Linked DNA regions of Rhinolophus ferrumequinum. The protein of the gene in region 1 purifies or fractionates together with the protein of each later gene. This does not show direct contact. Links are inferred from orthologs where the notes say so. Each region holds a gene or a part of one and is shown in the gene's direction. Other genes may lie near its edges.

Region 1 (7,321 bases):
GGAACTCATCTCCTCAATGGCCCTCAGCATGCTTCCTTCCCATCATAGGCTAGTGCTGTTTAGAATAGGAAGTCTCTTAGATGTTACTGAGCCCAAACTCCTACTCCCATTTCATGGATGAAGATTGAAGCTCAAAGAAAGAAGGTGACTTCTTTAAGGTTATATTCTGGGGGTGCCAAAAACAAGAATACAAGTGGACACTTTGGTCAATGTTGCTCAAGCAGTAGTTTGCTGAATCAGAATTATCTGGACGCTGACGGTAACCACTTTGAGCACCTCTTATAATTGCAGAAGTCAAACGGGACTTGTATTCATTCTTTGTTATTGGTATCTACTGAGTATTACAATTTTAATACAATTTTCCTCTCTTGAAATGTGTATACATTTTTTGGCATCCTCTGTATAACAGTATAGTTGTTCTGGGACCAGAACCTAGTTCTACCAACCTCCATCCATGCTCTCTCCTCTGCGCCAAAGTGCTTCCATCACAAAGAGACATTCATCAATATACACGCTTTATTGTGTATGTTTTATGTGTCCCAAATCTGAAGGAGACTCCATCCAAGCAATCCCACTCAGATTCAGCAAGAGAATTAAGCCCTATGCCCTAAAGCATCCACTACATTGTATGTAATCACTTCATCTCTATGAAGTTATAGGGTAATAGCTATGTACCATCCTCGGGAGAACTGGGAAGAATAGTCACTCAAACAATTATTCTGTGTGGTTTAATTCCCTTGTAAAACTCTAACTGAGAAAAGCTACTAGAGTTTAGTCCTTTTGAATAATTGAATCTCCTCAGACAAGAGTCTTTCATATGACCAACTGAAGTCTCTCCTGCGTTAATTTAATGTCATCTCCCTTTGTTCAGTCCCCCTGAGACGCGGAAAAATTTATTAGCATGTCTCTCATAAAACGCTAGCATAGCAGGAAATTAAATTCATCTGGTATAATCAGCTGTTCTGAAAGCTTTGCTGGTTGCTCTGCTTACTCCATGGTTGCCAAGGCAACTGCAAATTGATTTGTTTGATAACTCGTTCTAGGATCATTCCAGGTATTGATGTTAAGGTTGGACATCGACAAACCCATGGATGGCGAAGGAGACTCCAGACCCAAGGCAACAAGGAATATTTAACCTGAGGAGGAGAGCTCAGAAGAATCTCAGGAACTCGCCCCAAAGTTAAAGAGAGAGGAGACTTGTTTGAAATGGCCTCAAGGGGGCAGACTTAAGATCCACGGGTAGACGCTATGAGAAGATAAAGTTCAGTTCAATATCTGAAGAGTTGGAAAAATATACCCTGACAAAAGAGCTGGTGAGCTTGCTTTCACTAGAGGTGGCTCTCTAAGAGTTTTGGCGGGTGCTATTGTATAAGGAGCTGACTAGACGTGAGATGCTTCATTCAAATACCACTAACATCCCATCGAGCTCTATAAGTCAATGTTAATGCCGATTTTCATTATTGTTCTTCTTCCTAAGGAACCAAGCTTTGTGCCCTTTTTCATTCTTTTTCGGAGCAATTCAAATTTAAAATAAATTACTCATTACCTATGTTCAAAGGGTCCTTTTACAATATGATCTGAAAAGACAAATATGTACTTGATATATACATTTTGATTCAAAAGAAGATAATGATGGTAACAGTTATCCCTCTTCTAAGGCAGCATGCTAAATGCTTTACATGCATTTAATCTCATTTAATATAAACTTAACATGATGATACCGTACAGAGATAAATATTAAAGACCGATATTTAAGACCATCATTTAGAAAGAAATCTACAAATGTTTCTCTGCACAGAGGATCATGAAGATGGAATGAATGTTGTCTAAACCAAGACCAGGGTAAGATTTTCTAAGCCGTCCTGCTATTGGTGTGAGGGCATTCCCTGGTACCACAGAGCCTCACTCCTGTTCAAACATTCATTTGGTAAATCAAAGTGTGTGTGTGTGTGTGTGTGTGTGTGTGTGTGTGTGTGTGTGTGTGTGTTTTCCTGTTTGGCAGGCAGGAAATGACAAATCAATGTCTTAAGGGATTGACAAAATATGTAATTAGACACTATCAATCACCATTTTAAAAAGCCTGCTTTTTCTTCCATCAGATAAAGGTATATTTAGTCTACTAAGAACTTTCCAGTTTAACTGAAGCATTAACTCTCTAAGGCCACAAGCCCAATAAACAGTGCCAGCCAAACTCCTCTGCTGAGAAATCAAAGTAGAGCACTGAGCAGTGAAAACATGTGACGGCAGGAGCAGACCTGACTCCTGGGCTTCCCTGCCACCTTCCCCTGGACACTTCTTATTTCTACATTTCAGTTTCCTCATTTGCAAACTGGAGCGGGGGGAATAAACTAGATGATCTATTGAAACTCTCTCCCATTCTAACTCTCTCTAATCCTATAATTCTAAGAGGAGGTCTGAAGAAGACTCTTGGCATGAAGATAACATGTTGAAATTCCTACCAGCTTGGTAACACAGGACAGGGAGAAAGAGGGACAGAGACAGAGAAATTGTCCATTTTGCAAGGCTGGTGGGCAAAGGTCTGGACCATCCTTGTTGACATAAGCCGTCTTCCCCTCTTGATTTAGTGTTCCTGGGTTTTTAAAAAGGTGTTTCCCAAAATATTCCATGTTAAATTTTTAAGTGACTTATGTGTATGTCTAAATGATCAATTAGTGTTTGTCATAAAAGGACTTTCTTTGTTCTTTTTTTGTTATGGGAAGGTTAAACAATATGCTTATTTATTCCATAGCTTCACAAACAGGAAGGAGGTTTTAAATGACTTAATTCTACAATTCAGGGTAGATGTATATTTAAAGAAACGTTGTTGCATAACAGACACTGCCGCTTCCTAAAATGCATCATACCAGAGCCAATTTTGGAACACACAAATATGAGGTGGGTATATTTTGAAAACTATGTGAACATAATAGATCCTTAATATTTGTGGGTTTTATGGGAAGTATTTGTTTTTTAAGGCATCTGTCTTTGCAAGCCATTTCTGCAAGTGAAGGAAGTTAAAGGGGGCATATAGGTTAACTTTTGCTTCTGAGCTTTGCTTTTGGAGTAAAAGTCCAAGTTACTTTTGTCCTAAAGTATTTTATTGTTCTATTAGAGCAGACTAACAACATATTCTAAACTACTGAGTAATTTATATAAATTTCATTTATAACCCACACTTGACATTTATATGTGCAAAAACACTTTCACATTTATTATTATATCGTTTGATTCTCACTCAGCTCAAGGGAAGTGACTTTATTACCCATTTAGAGATGGAGGAAATTAGGCTCCATCTTTTTGATTTGCCTAAGGAAAGAGAGCTGTAAAGTTCTAAGGCAGGAGGATCTGAAGCTAGGGTATTCCAATTCCAGTTGTAGTCCTTTTTCCCTATACTCCATCCTTTTCTGCGAATGATGACACAGTACATTGAAAGGATTAAAAAATGGGTTTTTGACTCAGGCAGACCTGGATTCACCTCCTGCTTCTGACACTGCCTCACCCTGTGCCCTTGGGCAAGCTAAATTCCTCTTTGAGCCTCATTTGTGAATTAAGCTAAAAATAGTACCCCCCCCCACCATGGGACTGTGGGAAGGATTAAATGAAATAATGCATGAAAAGCACATGGCAGAATGTTCCATAAACGTTAGCCATTGTTATGTTATTATGTAATCTACAAAGTATGTTGGTTACCCTGCATGAAATACTTTCAGTTTTTCAAAGACACTACTCATACATGTGAAATCAAACCCTGGAAGTTAATTTCTTTTTAACAGTAAAGTCACATGCCAGATACAAAGGATAGTATTTCATAGACAAAAACCCTAGTTTGAAGGCCTGGTTTGACATTTTTTTTTTTTTTTTAAGGAACAATTATCTTTTGCTTTCCGTGGCTTCAAAAGTCCTTCATGTTAACATTCCTAATAAACTGTCATATGAAATTGCCATTTTTTAAAGTCAAGAGTCACAGAATAGCAGCAATTTCAAGTGGCTCAATCCAACAGATCTACAAACTTCCTAGAAGAGGAAAGAAATAATTTTTCCAGTTGTAATGGGATTACTGAAGGCCTTGGGGTAAAAAGAAAATTAATTCCATTTTCAACACATTTTCATTTCAACTAATAATAAGGGAGTGATGCCACACTCCCCAAAATTAAAAATTAAAGCATACAACTTTCTCTTTCTATCCAAAACACATACAAGACAGCCCAGCTCCAAATGAAACCCAAAGAGTGAAATTGTGTCTTGATGCCTGTACATTTCCAAGGAGAGCACCAAAAGTACTTTGACAGCGAGCGTGCTGAGGAAATCGGCAGCTGTTGAAGTCACCTCCTGTGGTCTTGCCAAATGTTTGAAAGGGAATATGCTTGTGTTCGCGCGCGCGCGCTCGCGGGGGCGGGGGGTGAGTGTCGTGGAGGTCGGGGTGCATGGGTGTAGGGTTTGGGTACCTGGATGGGGCGCTCTGCTTGCCTCCAAGTGAGCGTTTGTGTGTTGTTTACTTCTTTCTCTGCGTGTGCCCATACCTTTGTGCTCTGGGTGCTTCTGTTTGTTTCTGGCCCTATCTCTGTGTTGTTCAGGGACTGCGCCTGTAGGTTTTGGTGCGCGCGCGCGTGTGATTGTGGGTGCGCTGGACGGGTGTGTCTCAGTGTCGGTATAAGCCTGAGCTTGTCTGTTGGGGTGCATGTGTGCCTGTCCATGCGTGTCTCCGTGGGCACTCGTCTCTGTTTCCGATTATGGGGAAGTGCCCATGTACTGCTCTCCGTCCTGAGACCTCAGGCCACACAGGCGCCCAAGGCGGACAGGTAGCAGCCACAGAAGAGCCCAAAGTTCCTGGCTTGGCTGGTAAGCACGCCAGCCCCAGCTCCAGCCCTCCTGGCCCAGCCAGATGAGCGGGAGGGGAGGTGGCCCGCCCCGGGAGCAGAGGGCTCCGCCCGGGCCAGCCCCAGGAGGGGCGGGAGAAGGGAGGAGAGGGGCGGGAAGGGGAGGGAGCCTCGCCCCTTTGGGGCTGCCCGTGTGTCATTGGCGGAAAGTTCCCGCACGTCACCGGGAAGGCAGTTCCTCTAAAGTCCTGTGCACATAACGGGCAGCGCGCACTCTGAGGCGGCTTCTCCAGATAGCAGGCTGGCATTGACGGGCACCTGAAGCCCAGAGCACCCCACAAGCTGAGTGCAGGACGCGCCCCTACCACACCCACTCCCAGGCCGCTGGATGAGGCTTCCAGGCGTCCCCTCGCTGCCCGCAGCGCCCTGCCGAAGGTCCGCCCTCTGAGGCGCGGCCAGTGAGCCAACAGCCAGTGCGCTCACCTGCCAGCCTGCGCGCCATGGGACAACCCGGGAACCGCACCGTCTTCTTGCTGGCACCCAACGGAAGCCATGCGCCGGACCAAGACGGCACGCAGGAGCGGAATGATGCATGGGTGGTGGGCATGGGCATGGTCATGTCCCTCATCGTCTTGGCCATCGTGTTTGGAAACGTGCTGGTCATTACAGCCATTGCCAAGTTCGAGCGTCTGCAGACGGTCACCAACTACTTCATCACCTCGCTGGCCTGTGCGGACCTGGTCATGGGCCTGGCGGTGGTGCCTTTTGGGGCCAGCCATATCCTCATGAAAATGTGGACTTTTGGCAATTTCTGGTGTGAGTTTTGGACTTCCATTGACGTGTTGTGCGTCACGGCCAGCATTGAGACCCTGTGCGTGATTGCAGTGGATCGCTACTTTGCCATCACGACACCCTTCAAATACCAGAGCTTGCTGACCAAGAACAAGGCCCGGGTGGTCATTTTGATGGTGTGGGTTGTGTCAGGTCTTACCTCCTTCTTACCCATCCAGATGCACTGGTACCGGGCCACGCACCAAGAAGCCATGGAGTGCTATGCCAAGGAGACCTGCTGTGACTTCTTCACGAACCAAGCTTATGCCATTGCCTCTTCCATCGTGTCCTTCTACCTGCCCTTGGTTGTCATGGTCTTTGTCTACTCCAGGGTCTTCCGGGTGGCCAAAAGACAACTCCAGAAGATCGACAAATCTGAGGGCCGCTTCCATGCCCAAAACCTCAGCCAAGTGGAGCAGGATGGGAGGAGCGGGCACGTACCTCGCAGGTCCTCCAAGTTCTACTTGAAGGAACACAAAGCCCTGAAGACTTTGGGCATCATTATGGGCACTTTCACGCTGTGCTGGCTGCCCTTCTTTATCGTCAACATCGTGCATGTGATCCAGGATAACCTCATCCCCAAGGAAGTTTACATCCTCCTAAACTGGGTGGGCTATGTCAACTCGGCTTTCAATCCCCTCATCTACTGCCGGAGCCCGGATTTCAGGATTGCCTTCCAGGAGCTTCTGTGCCTGCGCAGGTCTTCTTTGAAGGCCTATGGGAATGGCTGCTCCAACAGCCAGGACAGATCTGACTACACAGGGGAGCCGAGTGGATATCACCTGGGACAGGAGAAAGACCGCAAACTGCTGTGTGAGGATGCCCCAGGCAAGGCAGACTTTGTGAACCGTCCAGGTACTGTGCCTAATGATAGCATTGATTCCCAAGGGAGGAACTGTAGTACAAATGACTCACTGCTCTAATGCAGTTTTTCTACTTTTTAAGGACCCCCCCCCAAAACACTACACAGACTATTTAATTATTGGAGTGTAATGCATTTAGAATAAAGTTGTATAGAGATGTGCAGGAGGAGGACATCCTTCTGCCTTTTTTTGTTTTTTTTTGTTTTGTTTTGTTTTGTTTTGTTTTTTCTAAGCTGTAAAAAAGAGAAAACGTATTTGAGTGATTGTTTCTTGTATAGTTTGGTTCCTCTTTGCATGGAACTTGCAAGTTGATGTCTGAAGGGCTTCGGTCCCAGAGGACCTGGGGCTGCTGTGTTTTGATGACTTTTCTGTGTATCTACCTCATTGGTCAAGTATTAGGGGTAATATATTGCTGCTGGTAATTTGTATCTGAAGGACAGCTTCCTTCCTGCACCCTTGGACTGGAGGACCCTGAGTCTCTCGTGGACCTTGCAGCTGTGAACATGGACTCTCCCCGCTCCTCTTATTTGCTGAAACAGGGTGTTGTAGGCAGGGATTTCAGGGGTAGCTTCAGTTGTTTTCCTGAGCAAAGTCTAAAGTTTACAGTAAATAAATTGTTTGACCATGACTTCATTGCACCTGTTTCTCCAAAATCCCTTGACTGGAGTGTGGTTGCTTCCCCCCCTGGAGACGGCAGGTAACTATTTGTAATAACTGCGCAGTGACCTAATGTGGAATGGCACAGGAATGACATGCTCTGATTGCTTAACCCTTTCATTTGCCTTTGAATCTGCAGCTACCCACCTGTAT
Region 2 (8,096 bases), on another chromosome or scaffold:
GTGTATTATCCTTTTTTGAATGATCTGATCTGGTAATCTGAAAAAAAATTTTTTTGAGAAGCACCAGCCTAAGCTAGAGCAGTGACTATCAACTGAGGATGATTTTGCTCCCAGTGGGACATTTACTAATATATGGAGACATTTTTGTTTGTCACCACTGGGAGGAGGTGCTACTGGTACCTAGTGGATAAAGGCTATGGATGCTGCTAAACATCCTATAAAGCACAGGAACTATACCTCACAACAAAGAATTATTTGGTCCAACACGTCTGTGGTGTCATTTTGGGAAACCCTGAGCTAGAATAAGCTAAAACCTTATCCTAAGAGTGAACAAATAAGATTTTTGGCAGAGATCCCAAAAGCCAGTGCCAAATACCTACACATCCAAATCAAAGGGGAGCAGTAGATGCTCCCCTTTCATCTCAAGCCAAGTCTGAAGGGCTTTAAGAGGACCATTTGGAAAACATGACATGTGTCTCCTGGCATCTTGGAGAGACAAGACTTGGTAACTCATTCACATTTGAAAAGTCCTAAGGCAAGAGGCTAAGGCTGCCTACAAGCAGAAGATGCACTTAGGGCTGACTGGAAACACTGCTGTGCAAGACACACATGGTTTTTGTAGACCAACTGAGGACAAAGAGAGCTGGACTTGTCATCCTGGAGCAGACTGTCCATCAGGACTGCCTGCATGGGTGATATGATCCCAACCTAGGGATGAACCCTGGAAACCAGAGCACTGAGGTATATGTCATAAGGTACACCAGCAGATACATTGCTGAGCCAAGCCACTGTAGGTGAGGATTCCCACTGATGTATTGACAAAGGCACTCTGTGAGGTAGAGGGTCAGTTGAAACCTCAGCTACTCCTAGAGGCATTGACTTCAGGCTAAAACTATTCCAGTCAAGAAAAATTCTTTCTGTCCCTGTTTTCTCCAACTGTGGAGGAGCCCAAAATGACAAGCCAGCAAGGGAGAAGGTACAAAAAGCCAGGGGTGAGGAATGGTGGGGAGGAGTGGGGTGGCAATAGCAGAGAATTTTTTAACTCCACGAGTCTGGGATTTTTGACATTGTACTAGACAGGGTTTTTAATACCAGGGTAAAAAAGCCACGTGTTTATTGCTAGAAAATGACTGATGGACTTTTTAATCACTTGAGAATGACTGGCAAAGCTAAAGGCTATGTATGAGTAAGATTTTGTCCTAGGAGTAGAGAGGGATCCTCAGAGATTTTCAGAGACCATAATGAGAAGAATAATATTGTTTTCTTCTTGTCCCTTACAAATTCCACCTTCTTCATCAAATTAGGAGCAGCAGTTTAATTGGGTTTCTGTCACTTACAACCAAAAACATTATAAAGCCTAATTTAAATCAGGGTTTCTCAACAGTGTCACTGAAGACATTTTGGACTCCCTTGATGCGTTAATGCAAAGGAATGTAACTAAATCTTTCTTCCTCCAGCCCTCCTCAGGGATATTGCCAAATATTCACCATGCGAATATTCACCACCCCTAGTTGAGAAACAACAAGTACTTGAGTTCTTTAATGCTGGACTCTGAGAATATTGTGAATAAGATAGAATTGCTAACTGCTCTCACCGACCTTACAGTTCAGACGAGATAGGCAGAAAATTAAGTACACACAAAAATCTTAAAATAATTAAAATTTGTAATACCCTCTGTGAAGGAAACAAAAATGAGAATGGGGTAAAGAATGCTTCATTAGGGACTATCTAGGTAGGGGTTAGCTAGGTGAATGAGAGAGAGGAGTTTGAGGTATCTGGTAAAAGTGTATCTGACTGAGGGAACAACAGTTGCAAAGGATTATTAGTCATTCTCAGGTACACGATCATCAAAATGTATGTTTTGTGCATTGCTACTTTTACTTGCCATTACTCATTTGCAAAAATGAGAAAGTATTTGTTTTGATATGACCATTCATATTTGTCTTCCTTCCTATCCTACCCATACTTCTTTTCTCCCCCTCCTTTTCTTCTTCTCTTCTTCCCCCTTCCCCGCCCCTGCCCCCTCTCATGCCCCATTAGGAGAGCCTGATGCACAATTCCTGGGCTTACAATTCACATCGTATTTAATACAAATGGCATCTGTAGAGTTCCATTCCAGAATTAGTGTGATTCAGCTGAGTGTCTGTCTACACCATGGAATATACAGAGGGTGCCAAAAAAATGTATACACATTTTTAAGGAAGGAAAACTGTACTAACATTATAATACTCAATATATACCAATAACAAAAGATGAATACAAGTCATGTTTGACTTCTGCAATTACAAGAGGTGCTCAAAGTGGTTACCCTCAGTGTCCAGACACTTCTGATTACGGTGAACTACTGCTTGAGCAACGCTGACCGAAGTGTCCACTTGTAGACATTTTTTTGGCACCTCCCCCCACCCCCCGCCCGTATAATCTCTCCTCTCTGAGAAGGGAGTTGATAGATCGATTTCCCAATGATAACATCCTTCCTTATAGCCTATCCACATATTATAATATTTGAAGAAAAATAAGGGATTAAGAATTCTGGATTAAGGGAAAAAGGGATAAATGCAAACATCCTAGGGTGGGTAGGGAGGGTGGGAATCCACGGAAGTTAAAAGTGGGAGATATATTGCATTGTCAGAGTGCATTTGCTTTGTGAGGATTGGTCCACAGCACGGACTTGACCTGGTGTGTACATGAGAGGCACTTGCTTGCTTTCATCTAGGCATGAGCTACACCTGTCTTGAGCAGTGGCATTATTTGTCTTCCCAGTGTCCTAGAACCTCTGAAGGAAACATAAGCCAAAAAGTACCTTGGTTACCAAGCAGATTGGTGGGGGGACTTTGAGGTTGAAGTAAATTTGCTCGAACACTTAATAACAGAACACGTTTGATATATTTTCAACGCAGGAATTTTTGAAGCAATGACTTTTGCCTTTTTGTCTATTTGATTGTGCTATTGATTTGTGGACATATATGTATATGTAAAAATTCTATCAATTATACATATTATAAATGTCTTTTCTTAATTTCTGGCTTGACTTTTCATCTCTTAATGGTCTCTTTTGATGCAAAGATGAGTTTTTATAGGTGGCACATAATTTTTGGCAGCAAAATTGCTTAATCAGTTTCAACTCCCCTTTTTCAAAATGCCTTTTTGCCCCCCTTATTCCGCCCCCCCTGCCCCCGCCCCGTTCAAGCCGTTTTTTCTCAGTCTACTTGTGTAGGACACAGCTCCCTGGCCCATGCTGGTATTATGAGCCTTGCACTCCCCTCGGCTGAGGCAGCCGGTTGTCGGCGGGCAGCTCACAGCAGCTCACGGCAGCTCTCGCTGGCTGCGCTGGCCCGCTGACCGCTCACGGCAGCATACAGCAGCGGCCAGCAGCACTCAGCAACTCATGCCAACCTCCAGCTGTTTACTGCAGCCTACCTCCACAGAGAGCTGTTGTTCACGATCTTAGCTGTAGAGGGCACAGCTCACTGGCCCATGTGAGAATTGAACCACCGATGCCGATGCCGGTGTTAGGAGAATGGCACTCCAACAAACTGAGCCACTGGCCCCTCAAAATGCTATCTTCATTGCGTAGGTTTCTTTAAAAAAACAGTTACTGCCTAACTCATTTTTGAAACTTCACTTTTCACTTTGAGGCCAGAGGTTAAATATATACAGTAAAAAAATTTCATAGTTAGCATATTGCTGAGAGCCACTTGTTTTCATAGAAAAGCCACTTGTTATCATAGAAAAATTTAAAACATTTGACTTTTTTCAAGTAAACCTATAAAACTCTTTAAATCAACCAGTACTTTGCCAAGACATCAGAGAACAAATGATTTTCATGATCATTCTCATCTCTTTACAGCGGAGTATAAAATTTTTAAAATTTAGATATTTCATTTTTTAAAATAAAAATTAACCACATTGCTAACATCCTGTGACATGAAAGCCACAATATTTTGAAATATTCTGAAAACAAAGAGAACAGTGGTAGTACCACATGCACCCTCTACATTGTGAAATTTCTATTCTTGCTCAGTGATCAGGATAGGTAACCATGTGTGGTGCAAACTGAGGTCTTGGTGTCATTCCGCACATGGAATGTTGGCAAAGGTTCATTTCTTCCATTTTTACCATAAAAATAGAATTAGAAGCTCCCATATTTTCTACTTGTTTCTTTCGTCTTCAGTTTTTAAATTGCCTTTATGGATGAGGAATTGGTCATCATAATTTTTATCAAATACAGGAGGCTTAAAAGTACCAATCAATACATGGTTTTAGTAAACAAAGGAACCTACTTGTTTCTGATGGAGATTGAGCATCTTGTACAACTCTTGGCTACATGTTCACATTTTGGAGACCAAAAAGAAGTAATTAGATTGAAACTGGCAATTTTAACAATAATTTTCATTAACTTTTTGTTTGTATATAAATCATTTGAATGAATTTTAGCAATTACATCAACTAGAAGACAGGTCTCTTCCAATGCTCTAGGCACTAAGCAGATACTAAGGTTTCAATAAATATTTGATTTGATCTTCTTGATTTTGGCCGAAGGGAAAATGGGAGAGATGAAGTTCTACTTTACAGATGTGGAAAAGGAAATACAATTACTTTCAAAGAATCTAGGTCCTAAGAAATTGGGAGAAGAAAGAGGAGAGGGAAAAAACAGCGTTGGATTGAGTTGTCTAATACTTCTTTGCACAAGGTCAGAAACCTGAGGCTCTTCCGTGGCCACCCTTAATGCAGAATCTGTAATGCATCGAGTCAAGACCTGCTGGTGGTCGTAGAGTGACAGAAGAGGGGGGAGAACACGTGTTAAAGGAAAAGTGCCCAAAGCCTAAAAGTGCTCGGCACGTACACGGTTCCTGTACCATTAACAAACTTGGAGGTGAGGGCAGGCTTGGTTCTCCTCACCTGGGCCCGGACGCCGCGGCCACGCCCCAAGGGCGGGGCGGGCTCTCCCCACAGCCCCGCCCCTCCCCGCCCTCCCTCGACTCCCGAGACGCCTGCGGCGGTCGTGGAAACACCGGAAGGAGCCGGGGCTCCTGCGGGAAGTGGCGGGTGCGGGAGGCGGGGACCCGGCGGGCTGCGGTGCTGAGCCGTCTCCTGGCCTCCGGACGCGACGCCGCCGCTCTCCGAGGCCAGGGGAAGAAAAGAGGAGCTTGTGGAGGTGCTGTCGCAGGCTACTGATGGCCGCGCTGGCGGGGCCCGTGGGGAAGGCCGTGGAGGTGAGCGCGTCGTTGCTGGGAGGGGCACGGGGCCGAAGGGCGCCTCGCTTGCCGCGAGGAGCTGGTGCCGGTTCTCGCTTCCGCGCGCTGGGTGCTGCGGCCTCTATAGCGGCCGCTTTTTCAGTACGGGACAGTGGTGGGCGCGCAGGCGAGAGGAAGGCCTCGGTTCTTCTCTGTGCTTTGCGATGCAGGGGTGGCCGCCCCAGCAGGGGTCGGCGGAGGACGCGAGTCAGTCGTAGATTTGAGGAAGGGATCCCAGGGGGCGCTCCGTTGGGAAGTGGAAGGCGAGAGGGATGAAGCGAATCCCCGAGAGGTGTTTGCTCCTTTTTTGGAGGTGTCCCTATTCCGGCTTGCCAGCCCAGTCACGGTGGTCGCAGACGACCGAAAACCCCGCAGCGCCCCGGCTTCTGAGTCCTGGTTTCGCTTTGCGGCGCAATTGGGGTGGTGGGACTTACTCGTGCAGCCTCAAGGCCCCGTTATTTATTGTTGTGAACAGGGAAACCTAGGTGTTATCGTCCCTGGAATTTTTCGTCGACCAGTGTTTGATCCATACTGTTTTAGACGTTCGTTACTCCTTACGGTCTGTCCATCTGCAGCTTTTGTTTGGATGAAATTTTCGTAAGAGTTTTGTGCCGCAGACCTTTACTGTTACATGTTTACTAACTACAGAACACTTGAATACTTACAGGATACAAATTGAGCTGTTGGATGAGATTCTTGTAGGTGTTTTGCATTCAAGTATATTTAGGGTTTTCATACTCATATAATCAGTATTAGACTGGAAAATTAGGCCAGACGGGGGGAATTCTGGCAGAAGCATAGGCTCTAAACTGAGGATGAATTTTAAACCAAGGATCTCTAGACTTCTTGTTTAGTAGATCTATAGAACTTTTTGGTTTAATCATTATTTTCCTTTAAGAAAACCTATATCCAAAATTAATGAAGTTGTCCTGGTTACATTTCTGGTTGAGACAATTGTATTATCTGGAAAGTTCTGACCAAATCAGATAATAGGCTATTGGCTTTGAACCTATACAAACAAATACTGTTGGTGAACCTGAACAATACAAATATTGTTAGTGAATTCATACTCTTATACATATTGGGGAAAAACTAGGAATCTTACTGAAAGACAATGCTAATTTTAAGAAAAAGTTATTGTAACAGTTACACTCTGCCAGGAGCATTATATCATTTTTTTTGGCAGGATTGAAAAAAAAGGGACAGTACAAAAAATATTCCAGGAATAAAATATTTGACTTCCTGCTATATGCAAGAGGGATCTTCTACTTAAGATTGCTTCTTAGTTTTGGTCTGTTTTATTGCCAATTTTTACTTTTTTGTCTTTTATGTGAGCTCTTTATAACCTATTAGTAAGTAAATAACGTAGCAGTGCAGTTTAATGATAGTATTAGTTTGTAGTGGTTTCTTTCAAATTTTGAAGTTCTGAGTTAAGGAGATTATTCTTTCATTTATACATTGCTCTTACAATTTTTATTTACCTTTCACATACACAATCTTAACTGATCCTCATGCCAATCCTCTGTGTTAGGAATGCCAAGAAGTAAAATCTTTTCCCATGACAGATGCATTTAGAGATTGTGTAAGGATCAGAATATCCTTAAAGCCTGAAATAAACTTGCTGAAGTAACCTTTGATATAAATTGGAATTCAGATAGGTATTGGAGCATTGTGAACTATATTGACTTATGACAGACTGTAGACTCTTTTCAAGAAAATGAAGTACATAAATGGTGAAAGATTTTTGGTGAGAAATGTGAAATGTAGTTATTCCTAAAAAAGAAAGGACTAAGGAACAGCTTTCTTTAGTGTAGTTTTTAAACATTTTTAAGTCTGCATGTGATTGCAGGATCATTTTGATAAATAGGATAGTTCCAGAGAGTCTAAGATGAGTACAGTGGTTTAATTGTCTTTTGAAAGGAGCATGAATTTTGTACAATGTAGTATATAAAGAGAACTAATATTTAAGAAGCAATGCATATATCAAAAAGAAATGTCCCTTTAAAAAGTTACTTTAGAAAGCTAAGTAGGTAAGTATCTGTGAGTCTACCAGGGAAAGCCCTTTGGAAAATAAAAAGAATGAAACGTGGTTTCTGCTGTCAAAGAACTTATTATAGTCAAGCTTGTAGGCAAGTATTTTTTTTAACACTACAGTACGTGCCTTATGAATATTATAATCAAGAATTTAGGTGAGAGAGACATTACTTGTGATTGCGTCTTGGTAGAGATGATATTTGAGATGAGTGAACTTTGAAAGATTTTCAACATGCAGATTTTGTAGGACATTTCTAAATGAACGGATTGTTGGGTTCCTGGAAAGTTACAAGTTATACCTGAGAAACGATTAGTAGACCACTTCGGTAATGTCATGGTTTGTGTAAGTTAGTAATAGGAGATGAAAAAGACAAATTATGAAAAACTTCATTGAAGGTGTTGATCAGAAGAGATATATGACCCACATGAATGCAGAATGAGCTGCAGGATGTTGAAGAGTGTTGATAAGTTGGGTGTAGATAACCAGTCATTTAAAAGAGAAAGTAAGGTGGAGATTAGTGTTGTCACCTCCACTAAATTGATAATGTCTGGCCAATGCTTGATTGTAAGCCTTTGTTAAATTACCTCTCTATTCCCAGGGTCTAGCACAGTCCTAAAATATGGTAGGTAATATAGTGAAAATATAGAAAAACATGGGACTGAATGTGACAAAATGAGACCATTTTCTATAGTTTTTAATGATTTATGAAATCCCAAAAGAGGAATTTCTAATATTTTTATACTAGAGGCATTATTTAGATGAATAAATTTTTGTTTTTTTTTGTACCAATATTCTAGTAAACAAAAAATATTGACAAATGTTCT

The links.
Region 2: the proteins of ADRB2 (region 1) and USP33 purify together in Homo sapiens (affinity purification with western blotting; 3 studies listed by BioGRID and IntAct, with this or other methods). This does not show direct contact. The link is inferred for Rhinolophus ferrumequinum from reciprocal best matches to the Homo sapiens genes ADRB2 and USP33.

Annotation. Positions count from the first base shown.
Region 1 is NC_046307.1:21,401,346-21,408,666, forward strand, and holds ADRB2 (beta-2 adrenergic receptor), read left to right. Parts: upstream 1-5,064; 5' UTR 5,065-5,317; coding exon 5,318-6,571; 3' UTR 6,572-6,706; downstream 6,707-7,321. UniProt on the Homo sapiens protein: Beta-adrenergic receptors mediate the catecholamine-induced activation of adenylate cyclase through the action of G proteins. The beta-2-adrenergic receptor binds epinephrine with an approximately 30-fold greater affinity than it does norepinephrine.
Region 2 is NC_046292.1:57,736,030-57,744,125, reverse strand, and holds the start of USP33 (ubiquitin carboxyl-terminal hydrolase 33), read left to right. Parts: upstream 1-5,003; 5' UTR 5,004-5,177; coding exon 5,178-5,216; intron 5,217-8,096. UniProt on the Homo sapiens protein: Deubiquitinating enzyme involved in various processes such as centrosome duplication, cellular migration and beta-2 adrenergic receptor/ADRB2 recycling.